3 linked regions of the Oryzias latipes genome follow. The protein of the gene in region 1 purifies or fractionates together with the protein of each later gene. This does not show direct contact. Links are inferred from orthologs where the notes say so. Each region holds a gene or a part of one and is shown in the gene's direction. Other genes may lie near its edges.

Region 1 (4,247 bases):
ACAATGTGACCAATAAAAGAAATAGCCAACTATGTTCTACTGCTCCAAAGGGTGAAATATTGATGTTATACAAACCCTTCCAAATGTGGAAAACGCACAAAACCTGCAAGCACAAAAAAAAAAAAAAAAAAAAAAAAAAAAAAAGGTACACTGGCAATTGGTGTGTCAATACCGACAAGCACATACATAAGGTTTTGACTGTAACTAGAGCCTCAAACCACACAAATAATCTTTGTAGGTCAAAGTCTCTTTGTAGAAAGACAAACACATCAGAACTTCTAATTCTTTTAAGCTGTACAGCAAATTGCACAACCTCTTTCTACATATATTTGGAACATAGATTTTAATACGGCAGATTCAGATTTCACAATGTCTATCAAGTTAATTATATTTGGCATAACTCAAATGTAAATAGTGATGGAGGCAAATAAGTGAAACCTCATAAAAATAACACTTACCCTTTTCTTCTCAAAATAAATTCAATAAAAAATCTAAGGTCCTGCAAACCAACAATCCAGGAATTTTGATATGCTCACACTAGTCTAGGCAATACCAAAGTGGGCAGTGGAGCTGAAAAACTGAGGTTATTTATGTATGAGGTCCTAATTGTCTGTCAAGCCACACCTTGTTGAATGACCAAGAGTTTTTGAATGAAGCTTGACGAGTAGTGATAAGTGGTTTGTTTCCAACTTACATTTCTCAAAGCAATTCAGACAAATATATTCGAGAGATAAATGGTAGAGAAAATATAAAGATAGAATATGTAAAGAAAATTAGAAAGGAAAGTGATCCTAAACTCCAAACGTGTGATATTAGTGAAAATAATTACCAAGAGAACTATAACTTTAATTTCTCCAATTTTCTCCAGTCATTTTTCTTCAAACTTGCCGTGATGTTAGTGAACATCATTACCAACAATAATCCAGTGAAAGTTTTGCTTCATCTTTGAAAATAGTGGCATTTTGGATGGTTCAAACTATAAAGGCAGGATGCTTAGGTGACCTATAACTTTAATTTCTCTAATTTTCTCCAGTCATGTTCCTTCAAACTTGCTGTGATGTTAGTGAACATCATTACCAACAATAATCCAGTGAAAGTTTTGTGTCATCTTAAAATGAAGCAACTTTAGAAAGATTTGACATGACAAGACCAGATGTGCCCTTTTACTAATTTACGTGGAGTATCTTCATTTCTGTTTGATTCAATTCCATGACATGCTCAACAACAAAGATCCATTAGATCTTAAAATAAACATCAAGAATTTACCGTTTTTGGTTAAATTCCAGGCTGAACTTGCAGAACATCGGTTTCTTTAAAGTATTATATGTTGTGTCTTCCTGAACGCTTCTCTTAGCTCTCACAAATCCGCACTTGGTGCTCCGTTTTTTCGTCATCCAAGTAAAAGGTTTTAACAATAGACGATCTCTGCTAGTTGAACGCAACAAACGAGAAGTTACGGTGGTATCGCGAGACCATCAGGCTGAGCTGCATTTTGTCAGCTGCATTGGGTCAGTTTCTTTCTAAATGTCTAAATCCTGTGTCCGATATTAACTGCTGTACATGAAGTCATAGTTTAACAGGAACTTCTACAATCTCCGGTGCTGAGGAAGGACCCAAAACATGGAGGCTGGTGAAGGTAAAAAAAAAAAAAGTGTTTATCAGTGTTCACATGCTAACGTTAGCTTCGGGAGCTAACGTAAATAAAGATGCTAGATGATCTCTCTGTTCTTAGATTGTAATTTATTTAGACATTTTTAGATCAGGGACAGGGTTTTTGTCTCACAATAATCACGCTGCGTGTCATCATCATAATCATTTTAAGGATTTTTGTTTCATTCTCAAATATTAAATTGGGAATTTTCCACCTGAGTGCAATGCCATTGTCGTCCGCCAGGCGGCAGCGCCACTACCACTCCCGCAGAGGAGATCAACGGAGCTTCAACCTTAATGGACTTCTTGGATGAACCTTTCCCTGACGTCAGCACGTACGAGGACTTCCACACCATTGACTGGTTGCGGGAGAAGTCCAGAGACACGGACCGGCACCGGAAGGTCCGGCATCTGCTGGTTAGGGTTTGTGATCTTGGTGTGTTCTGGCTCCTCATCACCATATTTTCTCCTCCAGATCACCAGTAAGAGCAAGGAGTCCCTCTGGGAGTTGATAAAGGGCCTGCTGGATGCCTGGTCAGGATGGGTGGTGATGCTGCTCATCGGTCTTCTCTCAGGTCAGTTCGATTAAGGTCAGATTGAATCGGTATCATCTGTGAGGTTTTACGCATGTACCAAAGATGGCGGCGTATTCCTGATCTCCGTAGGAACGCTGGCCGGCGTTATTGACCTGGCAGTGGACTGGATGACAGACCTGAAGGAGGGCGTCTGCCTCTCTGCTTTCTGGTACAGCCACGAGCAGTGCTGCTGGACCTCCAACGAGACCACCTTCGACGACCGCGACAAGTGTCCGCAGTGGCAGAAGTGGGCGGAGCTCATGACAGGCCATTCTGAGGTCAGAGCTTGTCATCCGGAAAAGAAGAGACTTGTAGGGTACTGAGGGTCAACATCTGATCGGTTAAGCTATTTTCTGTGGCGTTTCAGGGAGCCGGAGCGTACCTGTTGAACTACTTCCTGTACATCCTGTGGGCTCTGCTGTTCTCCTTCCTGGCTGTGTCGCTGGTTCGGGTTTTTGCCCCGTACGCCTGCGGTTCGGGGATCCCAGAGGTACGCACGGTTACTGTATCTGCGAACTGGACCGAGCTTGACGTCACCCGTAGAAAAGGGCTCACTTCCAGCTCCAAACAAATTCAGTCACCATTTTTTTTCGGTGATACGGATGCCGCCATGTAATCGTCAGTAAGTAGTGATTAGTCCGCATCCATGTAGGACATGGTTTCCATGGCAACCATTTTTGCTGATCATGTTTGAACTTGTTAGAAGGCCACAGCCCACCACTGACGGTCTGGGGCCTTCTATTTGGAACACGAGGGGGGAGGGGCCACTCATTCCAGTTCTCTTAACAGTTAATGTTTGGAACCAGGGTATAAATCAAAGGATGTGTGTGGACGAACAATTAGGTCTTTTTCTTTCTTTAAGATTAAAACGATTCTGAGTGGCTTCATTATTCGGGGCTACCTTGGAAAGTGGACCCTGCTGATCAAAACCGTCACCCTGGTTCTGGCGGTATCGTCGGGTCTCAGCCTGGGGAAGGAGGGCCCTCTGGTCCACGTGGCCTGTTGCTGTGGAAACCTCTTCTGCAGCCTCTTCTCCAAGTACAGCAAGAACGAGGGCAAACGCAGAGAGGTATGCCGATGGCGCCGCTCGTCCTGGCTGAACTCCACTTGACCCCGTCTCTCTCCTGCAGGTGTTGTCGGCGGCGGCCGCCGCTGGAGTTTCGGTGGCTTTTGGAGCGCCCATCGGAGGAGTTCTGTTCAGCTTGGAGGAGGTATCTTAGAAGTTGTGATTTATTGCAATTTTTGCCACTTGAGCGATTTTTAATCAAACTCCTCTCCTGCAGGTTAGCTATTATTTCCCTCTCAAGACGCTGTGGCGTTCCTTCTTTGCCGCTCTGGTCGCCGCCTTCACTCTGCGCTCCATCAACCCGTTCGGAAACAGCCGGCTGGTTCTGTTCTACGTGGAATACCACACTCCCTGGTACATGGCGGAGTTGGTGCCCTTCATCCTTCTGGGCGTCTTTGGCGGCCTCTGGGGAACCCTCTTCATCCGCGCCAACATTGCTTGGTGCCGCCGGCGAAAGACCACCCAGCTGGGGAAGTATCCCGTGCTGGAGGTGATCGCCGTGACGGGGATCACCGCCGTGTTGGCGTATCCCAACCCGTACACACGCCGCAGCACCAGCGAGCTGATCTCGGAGCTCTTCAACGACTGCGGGGCGCTGGAATCCTCGCAGCTCTGCGATTACATCAACAACCCCAACATGAGCCGGCCGGTGGACGACATCCCCGACCGGCCCGCCGGACCCGGCGTCTACAACGCCCTGTGGCAGCTCGCCCTCGCCCTCATCTTCAAGATCGTCATCACCATCTTCACCTTCGGCATGAAGGTCGGTGAGAGGAACCGGGTCTGGGTTGTGGTGATCGCTGGAGTCTAACGTTCTTCTGTCTGCTTTCAGATCCCGTCGGGTCTCTTCATCCCCAGCATGGCCGTTGGAGCCATCGCTGGGCGGATCGTGGGGATTGCCGTGGAGCAGATGGCGTACCACCACCACGACTGGATCATCTTCAAGAACTGGTGCC
Region 2 (4,286 bases), on another chromosome or scaffold:
TGCTAAAAGCATTGCTTGCGGAGGGTGTGGGGGGTCATAGTTTTAATCGATCTGCATGGCAACAGACCCAAGTGGTTCAGGTTGATCTTGCAACTCATTGATTTAGACGGTTTATTAACGGTAAGAGTATCTTACTACACACAGAGGCATGAAGGCAGGATTACCTGGAAATGGGAATATCGATTGCACCAAGACACTAAGGCTCAGGTTTTAAATAAAGGGGGAAAATTGGACATGGGAATCATGTCAATTGTGAAAATAATAAAATACTGTAACAATAACAGATTACTTTATGTTGCAACATGAAAAATGTCTCTTTTAGCATACAGATAGTGGACCATCCAGACTACTCATGATTTTTGTTAAAGACCCACTCCAATGAAAATATACTTTCTGGTGTTTTAACATGTTCTTGTATCATTTTTTCTCATGATGGAGGTCATATAAGGAAAATCAAGCTGTAATTGTATTTCTGCATATTTCTTTATTCAAATTGATGTCAATCAGGAGCAGACGTTAAAATGCCGTAGGAAAAAGCAGGTAGCAGTGACATAGTCTACAGTCGGCAGGCCAGAAGCTGCCTGCGCTGCTCCATTCTGATGCATCCACTTGGAGACAAATAGATCCATATACAGTATGTGTTCGTTTTTCTCCTCCAGGCTGAAATGTAGCTCAAAACTGTGCGCCTGGATAGCTCCGATATTGCTCACCACTTTTTGTGCAACACAAATGTTAGGTTGGGGTTGTGAAGGGCTGCAAGCTGGAGAGCACCTAAACAAAGGGATGATGGAAAATGAGGGCACCAACAATCCTGTCCACAACTCAGAGGCAGAGTTCTAATGACCTACTACTGCTCTGCAGAAACCATGTCCTTGAAAGCGACAGTTGTTTTTATTGGGTTAAAAATGGCATAATCATAACTAAAAGACCAATGGGAATGCTTTTACGTAAGATCAAAAGATGATTGGAATGGGACATTAAGTCATTCAAATATCACAATTCTTTTAAAAATCATTGTCATCATATCTTAACTAAAAAATAGTGTTAAAAATGGCAATTAGTTTTTATTATTCAGTTGATTTTTGAAAAAAGGTAAATATAATTTTAGTTACATAATTAATTTGCTTGTTGTTTAAAACGGCCTTGCTTTAACCCTTGTATAGCACAAGGGTTAAAGCAAGGCTGTTTTAGGCACTTTAACATTGGGAGTTGGGTCATCTAGACCCACTAGACAGTGCTCTGAACCTTTTTTCTTCAATGATTTGTGATCTTCACTGGTGTCCATGGATTACATGAAATCTTTACACCTTTATCCTCCTTTGTCATGGTAGGACAACACGTCAATGTAAGGGTGGGGTCATCTAAGTTAGCACAAGGGTTAAACAAAGGAGAAGCTGAATTGGCGACATTTCATGTGCAATTCTGAATAATAAGGGACCTTCCGTATCTGTCCAGCAGATGGCGCTGTCGGTCCAGTTCCACAGTTCCGTGACGATAGTCCGGATCCAGGAAGAACAGCTCATTTCAGCAATTACAGCTTTTTTTTCAAGCTCTGCGATTCGTGCTAGAGCTGCGTCCTGAATGCACAACACGAATACGCTGCTGACGAGCTGTGAACACGTGAGTTAACGAGTTGTTTTAAAATTGACCAAAGTTGTTTTGTATTTTACGATTTCTTACCAAAAAAAAGCGACAAAAATAAATGGTTGTCACCCCCCCCCCCCCCCCAGCCGTTTCCGTCGTTGTTTACACCGTAGCTAGATGCTAGCTGTGCTAACTGCTAGCATTTGGTGTTTTGACAGGGCGTCAGTGGAGAACTTTCCGATCCAGCAGGGAGATGTTTGACAAATACGGACCTTTGAGCTTCTTAGCTGCTACAGTCGTGACTGTGTTTCTTCTGGATGCTGGTGCTGTTGCAGACGCTAAGGTGAAACAAGGGAAATGTGTTGTTTTAGCTTATCATATCCTATGACAATCATCCTGGATACTACTTCTTGTGTTTGCAAAATACATATTTTTATCATAAATATTTACATGATAATCCATACTTTTTTTTAAAATCAATTTGTCTAATAAATGAAATCAGGGACACTTCAGTTCTGATTATGCTTTCTGCTGTATTGTAAACAACTGTAAATAAACCCACGTGGCTTGTTTCAAAGTCCGATCTTTTTGACTGCTTTATCAGACCCGGATGAAGAACTAATCACCTGAATCAGGTGCAGCCTGGAACAGGGAAATAAGATTCACATGCAGCCCAGAACCAGGATTTAAAACTCTCTTCTTATTATCCTTGATGTTGCAGAACTTTGAAGATGTTCGCTGCAAGTGCATCTGTCCACCATACAGAAACATCAGTGGGAACATTTATAACAGGAATGTTACCCAGAAAGATTGGTAAGATCACTTTGTTAAAATGTATTTACTATTATTTAAATAATATCAATTTAGAAACAGTTTGGGAATTGGTTTAGTTACTTTTTATTACTTAATTGACACAAATGCTGACTTTTTGTCTGCATTTTCATGAGGTTGCCCTACACACTTTAATCTTACCTTGCAGGTATAAATATTAACGAAAACCTTTGCTTTCATTGCAGTACCTGCCTCCATGTTGTTGAGCCGATGCCAGTTCCTGGATATGATGTAGAAGCTTACTGTCTGCTGTGTGAGTGCAAGTATGAGGAGCGAAGTAGCAACACCATCAAGGTACTACAGGCTTTCATTTGATTTCGGTGGTTTGTCTCCTACAGTATCCTCCCTCAAAGCAAACGTCCTTCAAAATTCCTTGGGCAAAACCCTTCGCGCTACCGCCTAACTGTGTTGCCACAAGGGGCCCCAAGTCTGGGTCCCCCTATGTTGGTTTCCAGCCCGGATAAAACACAGGCTGGTGTCAGGGAGGGTATCCGGCGTAAAAATCTTTGTCAGACTACGTGTGCAAAACAGTGAAAGCTGAGTCGCTGGCGACCCCTGAACGGATTTGCTGGGGTCTTCAAACTATACCTATTATGACACCTTTTAACCAAAAGACCCAGAATACCAGTTTTTATTGTTTGAAGCATTTTATCTTTGTTTTGTTGCGTTTTGTATTGTATTGCCACAAAACCTGTCATTTATTGATTTGTGGGAAAGATACACCCCCCTACTAAAAATAAAATTGAAATGCTTGTTATGTCCTGTTTTTGTGATGTGCTGCAAAATGACATCTTTATGTGACCCGTTTGCTAAATGTTCCAGGTAACCATCATCATTTACCTGTCGGTTGTGGGTGCATTGCTGCTCTACATGCTGTTCCTGCTCCTTGTTGATCCTCTCATCCGGAAACATGACCCCTACACTCAGCCTCTGCACAACGAGGAAGACAGTGAGGTAATCATGCAAAGAAACATCACATGTATTGGTGTACATTATGAATGCCGCCGGTTTTAACATACGTCTGCGTTTGCAGGAGATGCGTCCGCAGGCAGACAGCGGGCAGGCCAGAGGAAACACGGTGCTGGAGCGGGTTGAGGGAGCACAGCAGCGCTGGAAGAAACAGGTCCAGGAGCAGCGAAAGACCGTTTTCGATCGCCACAAATTGCTAAGTTAAACTGTCAGCCTGAGCTTAAAACCCGGTTTAGAGTAAATGACCTCCTTGAGCTCAGACCAGCGGCACTATCACAAACCAGCACAGCATCCTCTGGATCAGTATTTTGACAACAAGAAACATATTAGCATGAACTTCTAACAGACTTGAATGTAATGGGCTTTAGGCTGGAATATAAACTAATCTCATTTGTCGAAAAATTAAAACCATTTTTGCGCACTTTAAAAGTAAAAATGAATGCTTGAGTTTGAAGATCATCTGTTAACTTTTTAATAACTAGTAAATATTGGGCAGTTTGCTTATTGCTCTATTTAGAAATTTACCTCACAAGTGGTACACTGGTTTCATTTCAGCTTGCCTGCTTAGACAGTTGCCAGGCGTTTCTTCTTCCAAGCTTAGTAATATGAAATAGTTTATGTAAAAACGTGAGCATCTTCTTTTTGCAGTACCGTGAGTTCCTTTCTGATCTTTTTTAACCTCATTCTGGGTCTTTTCCCTTCTCTCTGTGAGGGAAAATGTGTCGAATGGACTCAAAAAAGATGTGACTGAAATACCAGCACTAAAAAGCTTCAAAATCACTGGATTGTTCTTTAATTTAAGTATTTTGTTTCTGCACTTGTATGAAATAATATATTCCAAAATTCCACTTTGAGAATGTTTTTATTTTAGTTTAGAAAGAGAACTGAACTTTGTCATTTTG
Region 3 (4,054 bases), on another chromosome or scaffold:
CACAAGGAGAGACAAACTTGGTGGGCGAACAGACATATATTGAATGTCAATGGTACTGTACATAGATTGTATATCTAGTTTTAACAGCCTTATTTTACTGGATTTGATGCATTTATGACAGAAGTACTGCAAAATGTAAGAAACTAATACAGCACAACTGTTTTCTTGGGAACACTAGCACTGAAAAGAGGTAGTCTCGCCACAAAAGCATTTATTTTGATGACTGTATTGTATATGATGTAAAAAAAGTGTTGAGAGTTTTAGCTACAGATGTTGATGACCCATGTGTTTGGTTTTCCAAGGTGTCTGGATAAACGTAATGGTTCTATAAACCCCTAAGCTTTTCCAGCTATTATCTGCTTTCACGTCAGTCAAAGATGCTTCTGTAGACACCCTGAGATACTAAAGCATGTCATGTCTGTTTCTATGAAAAGTCCTGTAAAATGCTGCTGAGCTACTGACCCATCTTAGATGCGATGTGTATGTATATTTTATGGTTTTGTACATCTAATAAAATTGTAAATAAAGATAGGACTCATATTCATCATTTCCTTAATTACCAGAAAAGAACCTTATTGTTTAGTGTGCACAAATTTCATTTGACATTAGAGTTTAGTATGCAACTGTTTGTCTATATTTGTCTGCTTAAGAAAAACACCAAATAAATCATTACTTGATTTAACTTGCAACACATTATTTAGCCAAAACAAGGTGCATTTTTTAAAGAAAATACAAATATAGGAAAGCTTATGCAGCACAAAAAATAGACCAAGTAACAAATTAAACATAAAAAACAAAATCAGTTAAGGTTAAGCTTTTTTTTATTTTAGACAATTATTAAAAACTTTGCTTCAAATGTGATGACTTTTTTTAAAAATAAATATGTAGTAAATCTGTGTTGTGTGCAAGATACTTTTTAAAGTTACTTCTTTAAAAATAAGCAGTACTTTGTAAAATTTTCACCAAAATAAATAAACCCTTTAAGTGGAAGACGGGTTTAGACGGCTGTCGTCAGTCATTTTAGATCTCCATCTCATTCTGTTGTATTTTTCGTACATGATCATGGCAGTTTAACAAACATGATTTATATAAAAACATAGAAACTAATAAGTACAAAGTAAAAATATTTTTAAAATCCCCTAAATATGTCATGTTTCAAATTCAAAAGACAAATTGTAAACCTCAATAGTTCTTGAAATAAAAAAAAATGTAATATTTCAAATGTCCGCGTCTTAATGTTTGCGGAAGTGAGCCTCTATTTCCGGAAATGACAAGTCAGCTGATGTAGAATCTGCTTATCCTCTACTTGGCTCTACGGCGGACGGCGTCGTTTCTTAGGGTGCATTCGTCTTTTCTCCTTTGTCCCGCAAAAAGAGTCCAGCAGGGTTTGAGTTACTGCGACGATGAAGCTGGTGTTAGCTGCCGAGGCTGCGTGTTTGGCGTGTTTGGTGCTGCTGAGCCAAGCAGCAGCAGCAAAGGTAAGGCTAATGCTAGGCTAATGCTAGCTGACAGCACACAAAACATGGGCGAGTAGCTTACTAAACAGGAATTACACGTCTTAAAATTCTGTCAGCGACAGACACCTTCCCCTTTTTGTTGCTCGCGTGCTTGGTCAGATAGATAGATAGATAGATAGATGGATAGATAGATAGATAGATAGATAGATAGATAGATAGATAGATAGATAGATAGATAGATAGATAGATAGATAGATAGATAGATAGAGATAAAAATGTTGTCATGATTAATTTCTGTTAAGACTTCCTTACTAAAATGTTAATAAATGTGCTATTTCTGATCAGTTGAACATTTTTTTCCTTCTCTACCGAGTTACAGAAAATCTACCTTTATTAAACACAGCAAACGCCAGAAAACAACTGTCCCCCCTTTTTCTTTCATAAAAGCAGACATTAAAGGGAATCTTTGCTATTTCAAAACTACATTTATATGTCAGAAGAATAATAATAAAAACATAAACAGGTACACCAAAGCGAAACAGAAATGCTGCCAACATCCATCAGAACTATTATTTTGGAAACTTTTTTTGTTGCTACTTTGGTGTTATGTACCTGGAAGCTGGATTCCTGTGTTTTTAGTCTCAAGTCTTTTGATTTCTTTTGGCAGCATGTTGTTTCATCATAGAAACTCATACTGTGTATGTAATTATTCCAGAACATCGTTGGTTTTAGCTAAGAAGATCTAAAGCCACCATGCAGTCTTAGGAAAACACTCATTTTTACATTAAAAATCTTTAAGATCCAAGATTTTTATTTTAGCAAGATTTTGAACTATTTCAATAAATAGTAATTACTTCAGTTGTATTATTTTATCCTGTTATTGCTTTGCAAATCTATTTTTTGGTAAACTACAAGTTATAAACTTAATTTTTTGATATTCTTAAAGCTGCTGTGATAACATCACACAAACATGTCAAAACAAATGTCTGAGTTCAATCGACTGCTGCATTTAAAACTTAAACACCTGCTTGACGTAACTTTTACAGAATTCCGAAGACGTTCGCTGTAAGTGTATCTGTCCACCTTACAGAGGCTATGAGGGACATATCTACAAACAAAATGTGTCTCTCAAAGACTGGTATGTAACCAAATGCCATTGTATGTTCCCCCCCCCCCCTTGCTGAATCTTTATCATATGGATGATTTTGTCTCTTAAGTAACTGCCTCCATGTGGTGGAACCGATGCCAGTGGACGGCAAAGATGTGGAGGCCTACTGTCTGCGCTGTGAATGTAAATATGAAGAGAGGAGCTCAGGGACTATAAAGGTGAAGTCAGATTATTGATTTATTTTTTATAAAGTGTCTCTCAGACTGTGTGTGTGCTGGTTTGTCTCTGTATGTACCCTAAAAATGTAGATCTTTTCTGCCTTTAACCCCATGTTTGCTGGGATGGACTCCAGCAACCCCTGTGACCCAATTTAGGACACAGAGGGTTCAGATTAAGGATGTATAAAGTTTTTGATTATTCTTTACATTGCAAACATTTCCTTTTTTTTAAAATACTAATTTGTAGATTTTTTAAAAGCTGGTATTCTCCCTTTTTATCTTGCATATAAACAACAGGGGTATTTTATTTTTTATATGTGACAGTTTCTGACTTTGCACTACTTTTGTATGAAAAGTATTTATATTTATAGTTAAATATAAATATATAAAGAAGTTTAATTTGATCAAATTCAAGGTTATGGAAAATACTTGCTCAACGTTAAATGTGAGGCATGCTATGATTTCTGAGTATGTTTTTTGTTCTCCCTTCTCATGTATTTAGTTTACCATCATCATGTACCTGTCCATTTTGGGCCTGCTACTGCTCTACATGGTGTACCTGACTCTGCTGGAGCCCATGTTGAAGAGGCGGCTGTTTGGACACTCGCAGCTTATCCAAAGTGACGATGATGCTGGGGTAAGTGTTCCTAGCAACATTCAGGAGTCTCAAGGGCAATATGTATAGTTGTTTAATTTTTTTTTTCTGTGAATTTTAGCAGGTTTGATACTTTGAATGGTCATAGTCACAAGACTTGATCAGTAAATGTTCTCCCTTTGCACCAACCATCACGTGGAAGTTTTTCATGCAGTACGAGTAAAATTTAACAAGCTCTTGTAAATCAGTGCCGTACTTTCCCACTCCTTGGGAGGCTCTGAGAAATAGAAATCTGTGCAATCATGCAAAGAAATGTAATTAGGTTGCCCTCTAACAAGTTTGGACTCCTTTGCATGCACTGTAATTTACCAAAATATGTTATTTTCATGCAGATTTTACAAAAAATTAAATGCGATATTCTAGCAACATTGGCTCAGATTGCGGCAGTAGTTCTGTAGAATTGTGGTGAAACTGGAAAGTGTGTCATCTATACATTTAGATACTGTGTTGCGTTCACTTAAGGACTGCCTCCAGCAATCTGGCCAAGCTTGGAGCATTTCCTGGACTCACATCCAGAACCTCTTACTACTGTGCTGCTGTGAATCACATCACATTATCTTTGGTTTAAAATGGAAAAGTTTTACATCGACGGGACTCAATTTTTTGCCTCAGGGAT

What was found. The genes of interacting proteins can lie anywhere in the genome.
Region 2: the proteins of H(+)/Cl(-) exchange transporter 4 (region 1) and tmem9 purify together in Homo sapiens (co-immunoprecipitation; 3 studies listed by BioGRID and IntAct, with this or other methods). This does not show direct contact. The link is inferred for Oryzias latipes from reciprocal best matches to the Homo sapiens genes CLCN4 and TMEM9.
Region 3: the proteins of H(+)/Cl(-) exchange transporter 4 (region 1) and tmem9b purify together in Homo sapiens (co-immunoprecipitation; 3 studies listed by BioGRID and IntAct, with this or other methods). This does not show direct contact. The link is inferred for Oryzias latipes from reciprocal best matches to the Homo sapiens genes CLCN4 and TMEM9B.

Annotation. Positions count from the first base shown.
Region 1 is NC_019860.2:10,457,596-10,461,842, forward strand, and holds the start of H(+)/Cl(-) exchange transporter 4, read left to right. Parts: upstream 1-1,439; 5' UTR 1,440-1,620; coding exon 1,621-1,636; intron 1,637-1,894; coding exon 1,895-2,052; intron 2,053-2,125; coding exon 2,126-2,225; intron 2,226-2,315; coding exon 2,316-2,503; intron 2,504-2,592; coding exon 2,593-2,715; intron 2,716-3,087; coding exon 3,088-3,294; intron 3,295-3,355; coding exon 3,356-3,436; intron 3,437-3,508; coding exon 3,509-4,054; intron 4,055-4,123; coding exon 4,124-4,247. UniProt on the Homo sapiens protein: Strongly outwardly rectifying, electrogenic H(+)/Cl(-)exchanger which mediates the exchange of chloride ions against protons.
Region 2 is NC_019865.2:11,958,141-11,962,426, reverse strand, and holds the start of tmem9 (transmembrane protein 9), read left to right. Parts: upstream 1-1,484; 5' UTR 1,485-1,620; intron 1,621-1,802; 5' UTR 1,803-1,837; coding exon 1,838-1,927; intron 1,928-2,305; coding exon 2,306-2,397; intron 2,398-2,600; coding exon 2,601-2,709; intron 2,710-3,237; coding exon 3,238-3,369; intron 3,370-3,448; coding exon 3,449-3,589; 3' UTR 3,590-4,286. UniProt on the Homo sapiens protein: Transmembrane protein that binds to and facilitates the assembly of lysosomal proton-transporting V-type ATPase (v-ATPase), resulting in enhanced lysosomal acidification and trafficking.
Region 3 is NC_019861.2:19,775,390-19,779,443, reverse strand, and holds the start of tmem9b (transmembrane protein 9B), read left to right. Parts: upstream 1-1,252; 5' UTR 1,253-1,403; coding exon 1,404-1,478; intron 1,479-2,503; coding exon 2,504-2,595; intron 2,596-2,674; coding exon 2,675-2,783; intron 2,784-3,285; coding exon 3,286-3,420; intron 3,421-4,054. UniProt on the Homo sapiens protein: Enhances production of pro-inflammatory cytokines induced by TNF, IL1B, and TLR ligands. Has a role in TNF activation of both the NF-kappaB and MAPK pathways.